Xenopus tropicalis: one gene and its partner. The protein of the gene in region 2 binds, or shares a complex with, the protein of the main gene of each other region. Links are inferred from orthologs where the notes say so. Each region holds a gene or a part of one and is shown on either strand. Other genes may lie near its edges. The genes, in order: ube2b and rad18.

Evidence for each region.
Region 1: the proteins of rad18 (region 2) and ube2b are in contact, whole or in part, in a crystal structure (PDB 2YBF), measured with the Homo sapiens proteins. The link is inferred for Xenopus tropicalis from reciprocal best matches to the Homo sapiens genes RAD18 and UBE2B. Residues at the interface, in NP_064550.3 of Homo sapiens: Tyr342, Arg343, Lys344, Lys345, His346, Lys347, Glu349, Phe350, Leu353, Val354, Gln356, Ala357, Arg358, Lys359, Gly360, Tyr361; in NP_003328.1 of Homo sapiens: Pro20, Val22, Gly23, Val24, Ser25, Gly26, Ala27, Ser29, Glu30, Gln35, Asn37, Ala38, Val39, Phe41, Gly42, Pro43, Glu44, Glu49, Asp50, Lys54, Leu55, Val56, Leu73, Ser74, Asp151, Ser152.

The regions. Positions count from the first base shown.
Region 1 is NC_030679.2:26,523,191-26,527,790, reverse strand, and holds the start of ube2b (ubiquitin-conjugating enzyme E2 B), read left to right. Parts: upstream 1-1,524; 5' UTR 1,525-1,627; coding exon 1,628-1,671; intron 1,672-4,600. UniProt on the Homo sapiens protein: E2 ubiquitin-conjugating enzyme that accepts ubiquitin from the ubiquitin-activating enzyme E1 and transfers it to a E3 ubiquitin-protein ligase. In vitro catalyzes 'Lys-11'-, as well as 'Lys-48'- and 'Lys-63'-linked polyubiquitination.
Region 2 is NC_030680.2:131,520,492-131,524,313, forward strand, and holds part of rad18 (E3 ubiquitin-protein ligase RAD18), read right to left. Parts: intron 763-3,822; coding exon 416-762; intron 1-415. UniProt on the Homo sapiens protein: E3 ubiquitin-protein ligase involved in postreplication repair of UV-damaged DNA. Postreplication repair functions in gap-filling of a daughter strand on replication of damaged DNA.

The DNA of each region.
Region 1 (4,600 bases), on a different chromosome or scaffold from region 2:
GGACCTTGCGAGCCCTGCAGGATTTTAATCCATTGCGGTGTAATGTGTTTCCAATGGTTTTCTTGGTGACTGTGGTCCCTGCTAATTTGAGGTCATTAACTAACTCCTCCCGTGTAGTTCTAGGATGCTTTTTCACCTTTCTCAGAATCATTGACACCCCACGAGGCGAGATCTTGCATGGAGCCCCAGAGTGAGGTCGATTTATGGTCATTTTGTGCTCCTTCCATTTTCGAACAATCGCACCAACAGTTGTCACCTTCTCTCCCAGCTTCTTGCTAATGGTTTTGTAGCCCATTCCAGCCTTGTGCAGGTCTACAATTTTGTCTCTGACATCCTTGGACAGCTCTTTGGTCTTTCCCATGTTGGAGAGTTTGGAGTCTGCTTGATTGATTGATTCTGTGGACAGGTGTCTTTTATACAAGTGACTAGTTAAGACAGGTGTCCTTAATGAGGTTGACTAATTGAGTAGAAGTGTCTAACCACTCTGTGGGAGCCAGAACTCTTAATGGTTGGTAGGGGTTCAAAAACTTATTTCACTCAATGAAAATTCAAATGCAAATCAGTTGCTATCTTTTATTTAAAGTTATTTTTTCGATTTTCCTTTTGATGTGCTATCTGCCACTGTTAAAATAAACCTACCATTGAAATGATACTCTTCTGAGACTTTTCATTTCTTTGTCATTGGACAAACTTACAAAATCAGTGAGGGGTCAAATAATTATTTCCTCCTCTGTATATCAAGATCTAAGACAGTCCCTGCAAATTGTGATCAGTTGCTATTTCTGCAATAATCACCTATTGCAACTGATGAGATTACCAAGTGTTCAAATATGCAGATGGTTTGGCAGAACCCATTCTTTAAAAAGAACTACTATCTCTGAAATTTACATTATGGTCACTTTCCAGTTTTAACAGCCTGGGGTATTACCACAATCATTTCAGAAGACAAATATTTATTAAACTGATAATAAATGTGACTTATTATGGTGCATGTTATTCATACAACCCAGGCACATGTGCCATATCTTTCTCTGACTATATTTCTGCAATACAATTTCCAAGCAGTTTTCAGTTGCAGACTATATAAAACAGGAATGTTTAAACAGTGTGCCTACTGGTGGTGCTGAACCATACTTGTAGCATCTCCAGTAAGAGACTTTATTCGCTATAAAGAATACTCTACAGAACCATCAACTTTCACCGAAGCTACCCTCCCAGGAAAGCCGAGCTCAAACACCACGTGATATGATGCAACGCTTCTCCTCAGGAACTTTGAGTTGTCACTTATGGAAGCGACCATTCGTACGGATGACAGGGGTGATCGTCAGCAATAAATCACACTGCCCCACGTCCAAGAAAACGGCATGCCGCGTCACAATAAAAAACAAATGTTCCTATTAAACTCCGCAGTGAATCTCGGGGCAACATTTTGCAAAAATGGCAGCTTAGCACGGAATCTCCCTCTCCGGTGTAGTTGGTACGGTCCTATGAAACGTTCTGGTCCAGCCCCATGTTGGGAGCACTGAGCAACGTCATTGCGGCTTGTTTGTGCCAGGGTTGCTGAGTTAGCGGCGGCCGGGTTTGGGCTCCCTCCCTTCCCCCTCCGTACTGCTTCTATTCAGGGGCAATGTCCACCCCGGCCAGGAGGAGGCTGATGAGGGACTTCAAGAGGTGAGTAGGGCTGTTACAGGCTCCTTCCCTCATCGGCTTCACTGCGAGTTCCGTTCGACTCCGCCACCAAGTCACACGACTAGTGTATAAGGCAGGGGCAGGCAACCTTCGGCGCTTCTGCTCTTGTGGGACTACACCTCTCGCCTTCTGCCCGCTTGGCATGCTGGAAGTTGTAGTTTTGCAGCATATGGGGGGTTACCTGAGGCCTCCTGGGCGTTCAGTGGATCAGTACCCGTAAAGGGAAGATGTTAGGGACACTGAAAATCACAAAACCCCACTTCTTGCTGGCTATAAGCACTAGGCCAGTTCATCTCCTTAAATATCTATAGAGAACAGTATGGAAGATCTCTTTGCAGCATAGAGCAGTTGGCCAATGAGTTATAGTAGACCCCACAATTATATTTCACTTTTGCTAGGTTTTATTTTTTATCTGTAAAGTTTATTTTTGTATTTTTTATGGCTGTTATAGTGGGCAGTGTGTGCTAGTGCAGCCGGCCCCTCTATCCCCATGCTGCCATGTGCTTATCTGTATTGTTTTGTAAGATATATCCTCACCCACATCCAAAAATACATACAGGGATGGGACCTGTTAATCGCAAAGCTCAGGAGCTGGAGTTTTCAGAATAAGGGATCTTTCCGTAGTTTAGATCTCCATATCCTAAGTCTACTAGAAAATCATTTAACCATTAAATAAACCCAATAGCATTATTTTGCCTCCAATAAGGATTAATTATACCTTAGGCTCAAGTACAAGGTACTGTTTGGCCACCTTTTACACCCTCAGCCAAAGATATGAACTGCCAGCAATGTGGTTGAAAGGTTTTCTGGCAGTTAGTGAAATGCTGGTCATCATTAGCTTTAGCCTTATCTGCCCCATTTCTGCTGCTGGTACAGTCCTGCAGTTGCCTTCCAGCTCTTTAAAAGGCTTTACACATAAACACATTTTCCCAGAATTCCAATTTTGCTTTATCTTGCATGCTTGGCCGCACATAAAAATCTATTTGGTCTGCATTGTGAATACTGAATCAGCTTTTTTGACCAATACATTTACATTGGATTATTGATCAACACTGTATGTATATTTATATAGAACTACTTAATGTACAGAGTGCTGTTCAATACTGGGCAAATTTGCACCTGGGCAAATTTGCACCTGGGCAGAAACCTATAGCAACCAGCCAGTGATTTGTTTTTATTCACCAGGTTGAAAAAAAAAAAGAGAGAAAATGTTGATTAGTTGCTGTTGGTTACTGCACATGTACAGAATTGCCTGGTGTTTATAAATGGGCCCCACTGATCAGTTATTTATTTTTTGCATTATGTTTTTTTATGTTTTTAATTACTTAATTGGATTTTTAGTCCTGCATTGTTGTCCACAGCTTTGTTTTTGGCAGTTGTGCAATGTGATTAGTAGATAAGGTATTCTGAACATTGACTACACTTCACAATCACTTGTTTTATTGGTTTTGGTGATTTGATGACATATTGATGTCTGCTAGAAATACAAAAGCAAAAAGTATCCAGTCCATCCATTTATTGTAACGTACATTATTGCACAGATAAATATAATCTTTAGCTGGGCAAACATCTTTGTATTGTTAACATTGTTTTTTTTAGGTCAGTTTATTGCATCATAAAGCAAGAATGTCAGGGAACCTCATTCCACTTGGGTCCTTAACGCTCAGCACTTAATCTTGAGTATCACTTTGTGCTTTGTATTTATTCGTTTTTATTTTTGGATTAACTCCTATTAGTGTATTGTTCTCCTGTTAGTGATGCATACACAAGTAGCACCTTATTAATAAAATATACAGACAGCATCCATACCGGTTTTGTAGCAGCCACACAGTGAAGCTCTTAAAGTCTTATGTCATTTCAGAACTCGGCTTCTGTTTTGGCTTCCCTTCAATTTTGTTTAAGCGGAAGGGTTTTTTTTTTCTATTTGTATTCCTCCTACTATAGGTTTTGGTGATTAAAAATGCCCTGGTGAGAACTGTCCCAGATGTGACACCCACCCAGTTGACTTCTTCCATATAACATGTGTTTGCCCCCTCATCCAGCAAATCTGCTCAAATGTAATACAATAAATGCAAAACAAACCTGGAATTCCGATTCTTACCTAGAGCCACAACTTTACTACTGAAGCAGATAGAAGAAATGGCGCTAGAAGTTAGGCGCTATATATATATATATATATATATATATATATATATAAAGCAAGACAGTGAGCTGCACACACCAGGACTTGGCAAAAAAAATGATAAGTTTATTTAAGCAAAGAAAGGATTTCTTTGCTTAAATTAACTTATCATTTTTTTGCCAAGACAGGTATCGGACCCCTTATCCGGAAACCCGTTATCCAGAAAGCTCCAAATTACGGAAAGCCCGTCTCCCATAGACTCCATTTTAATCAAATAATTCAGAATTTTAAAACTAATTTCCTTTTTCTCTGTAATAATAAAACAGTACCTTGTAATTTATCCCCACTAAGATATAATCAATCCTTATTAGATGCAAAACAATCCTATTGGGTTTAATTAATGTTTTATTGATTTTTTAGCAGACTTAAGGTATGGAGATCCAAATTACGGAAAGACCCCTTATCCGGAATACCCTTGGTCCCGAGCATTCTGGATAACAGGTCCTATACCTGTGTGTGTGTGTGTGTATATATACCCACTTGATAAGAAAACTTGATTTTTCAGAATGTCTATTGTTGTAAATGGCATAGTGTGCACCAAAATGAGACTCATAGCATTGCATACAATGTAACTCGAGTTTTTGCTGAATAATGTTTCTTGTACCTCTAAATGGCACATAACTATAGGATGATAGTATCTCTATAAAATTGTTTTTATGCAAATAAAAGGAATATGGATAAGAATACATTTATGTTCTGCGTGTGGGGTTTGTCCCTCATGTAAGCATA
Region 2 (3,822 bases):
TGGGAAGGCATTGTGAGATTAGTCTCCCCAGTAAAAGAGATTTGTTGCAGGGACTAATCTCCTCGTCTGTCATTTCCTGCTTTAAAAAACCTAACCATGTTGTGTGTCAGTTGTGCACTGAAAATGACTGGCTCACGTTGGAATCGGCCAATTAGAGCAGGTGAAATGTGTCAAAAACTCACAGCATAAGCGCGTTATGTGCAGACAGAAAAGAAATGTTACACTAAAGAAATATAAAATATATAATTAAATACATAAACAACTGTAAGCAAAAAAAAAAAAAATTAAGACTATTTGTAAAAACAGATTAATTCCAGATCCAATACAGTTTAATTATATATAAAAATCCAATATAGTTGCATTATATATAAAAATATAAAAAATATGGCAAATAGTTCGGACACTAGAGGCTTACCTCTAACTTTTGATGCAGAAGAGGGTGCAGCTAGAGCAGATGTGGAGGGTGAAAATGTACCAAACGTCTCTGTCATTACAGAACCTGCTTCTCCGGCTAAATCAATATTGGAGGTATTAGCAGAGGTATATGAAGAATCCTGGCTTAAAAAGGTTTCATCTTGTAAAGTGTTTGAATGAGTTCGGGGTGTTGAACAGTTGCCTTTTACCAGAAATCTATTCATTATTATGTTCTCTTGCTTTACTTGTTTACCAGTGCATCCCTGCATTTTTGCAATCTTGCTGGTGGAGGGGTTACTTTGTGGCGACATGGGAGGTGAATCCAAGACAACCTTTGAAAGATGCTGCCTAAAACATACAAGAAAAAAAGAGTTGTAATTTTATTTAAAACAGAGGAGACCTGCCCACATTGTAGTAGATATTTAATACAGTTCACAATTAGTCATTAATTTTGTGTATATTATATATATATATATATATATATATACACACACACACATACATATATGGGATCCATTATCCAGAAAGTATGGGATCCATTGTCCAGAAAGTTCTAAATTAAAGGAAGGCCATCTCCTATAGGCTCCATTATAATCATATAATTCAAACAAAACAGTATCTTTTACTTTATACCAGCTAAGACAGTGCCCTTTCTCAGGGACAGGACTTTTTTTAATAGAACTTTTGTCTTTTGGCACTAAGTCCCTGTGTGTGGAACCCTTTCTCTCTCTGTATATTACATTTTTTTTTTTTTATTTTTTTTTTTTATACATTTCTAACATTTTTTTTAAACTGAAACCAACACACTCTTGCTGACAGTAAATCTGTCAATTTCCTCTGTTCTAATTGGATAATTCCAGCAATAGTGAACAATAATAATAAGAAAACCTATTTGTGAAAAAGAAATAAAGCATGCAGTATATTTGGGTGCATGTTTATAACAATGACAAATCTTTAAAGGAAAACTATACCCCAAACAATGTAGGTCTCTAAAAAAATATATTGCATAAAACCTGCTTCATCTAAATAAACCATTTTCATAAAAATATACTTTTTTAGTAGTATGTGCTATTGGGTAATACTAAATAGAAAACTGCCATTTTAAGAATTAAAGAGATACTGACACCAGAAATGAAACCTTTTTTACATCTGTCATAATATTGTCTCTGCATGCTATTTATTATTTTGCCATAAAAGTATTTGTCCAAGCTTTTACATTCACTATCTGATCCCCCATGTTCCTCTATGAGGGGGCGGCCATATTTGTCCAGCAGGTGGCCATTAGCATTAGAAGCTGTAACTGACTGGCTGAGAAGGGACAGTCAGGCTGGCAAAACAGTCAGGTTTTGGGATTTCAAGTAACAATTTCTTACAAAAGCAAACCTATCAGCAAAAAATGATCAACACGACCTATAGGCAACTTTTTATGTAGATTCATAATTTAAAAAGTTGTTTTTTCGTGTCGGTATCACTTTAAGGCCGCCCCCTGGGATCATAGGATTCACAGTGCACACAAACAAGCCAAGGCACACATACATGCTAGGCCCCATCAGCCAATTAATGGGCAGAGTTCTGCCTTTTGCTCCCACACTACTTCCTGTCAGAGCTGCATTATTTCTGGTCATGTGATCTCTGAGGGAGCACACAGCCCATCACTAAGGGCCTTGACAGACGGGGAGATTAGTCACCCGCGACAAATCTCCCTTGTCCCAGGAAACTAATCTCCCCGAAATGCCATCCCACCGGCTAGAATGTAACTCACCGGTGGGATGGCATACGCGGCGCGGCGATTTGCCGAAATCGCTGAAGTTGCCTTGAGAGGAAACTTCGGCGATTTCGGCACCGCATATGCCATCCCACCGGAGATTTACATTCTAGTCAGTGGGATGGCATTTCGGGGAGATTTGTCACACGGCAACTAATCTCCCCGTCTACCACAGCCCTAAATGGCGACTCAAGGGAAAAGATGTAAAAGAGCTAAATTTACTGATATATATATATATATTCCAGTTTAGCAAAATTCTTTAATAGGTCACTTAACAAAATATAAACTGTTTATTAGGTATTTATTCTGGGGGTATAGTTTTCCTTTAACATATGCTGTTTTGCTTTAGAACAGGAAACATCAAAGCCTGTTTTGTGGTGTAAGTCTTATGGAATTGTTTTACCATCTGAAATGATTCAAGACTAAACCCATATCCATCCTCTGGATAACTACAGCCAGTCCAAAATATCAAATAAAAACAGCCAGGCCTCCCAGGTAGGTACTCAAAGGACAAGGTCAAGTAATAGAGGGAACAGTTGTGTGTTACAAACAAATAAGATGTGGCAGAAGACCTAATTTCACATGACTTTACATAATATTGAGTAAAGGAGTAGTAGTGCAGAAAGCCATATGTCTATATAAAATCTTCTAGCTAATCTTTTTGCTTCAGCTAGCCATACACGCACAGATATTGTTGTGAGGTACAAGGTTAAGTACCATTTTCAGGAAAACATTTTTGAAAGCAGAATATGCAATCCAAAGTTTTCCAGAACAAGGTTTTGGAAAAAATACCATTAAGCAGCCTTACCTCTAATAAAAACAGAAGATTCTGTTTCTCATCTCTAACTGTAGACATCAAATGGCACTGAATACTAATACACTTGCATATACTTGGCGTTTCCATCGGATCTAAATTTGTCCTCTTTCTAATGACATTAAATTATGAGATAAGACTGATCAATGTAATTTCAGTCGGCCATAACATCTGACCTCCACAGAACTTACTAATTATACCGAATCTGTACGGAATCTCTACGGAATCGCAGCTTTATTAATTAAAATATTTGTGCAGATCAAAGCATTTCCACACTACTGTATATGTATGTATAAGTGTGTGTTATTTCTGTTGCTGATGTTAATTTCCCAGAATGCAAGGCAGTAGCAGCAAGACAGAGATGGACATACAAGTGTGATATGCAGAACTGAGCTGCAGTTATTATATCAGGAAACCCTGCAATTACAGATACCCTACAGATCATATCCTTTCCTTTCAGTAGGGATGCACCAAACCTACTTTTTTTGGGTTTGGCCGAACCCACCCTGGCAGATTCTGCTGAATCCTGAACCAAATTCGAATTAACATATGCTAATTAGGATCGCTGCACGTGCGGCAAATTTTTTTTACCATGACCATTTAACCCTTTCCAAATACTAATTAGCATATGCTAATTCTTACTAATTAGGATTCAGACGAAACTGAATCCTTCAAAAAAAGCCTGGATTTGGCCCGAATCCCGAACCGAATCCGGGATTCGGTGTGCAGGGACCCATAAGATTTAGCGCTCCTATGGCTTTAATCCCCTACTAGTTCTTTCTATTACTGTTACTGGGCAGAGTCCCCTGTATCTAGTTTGCACTAATGC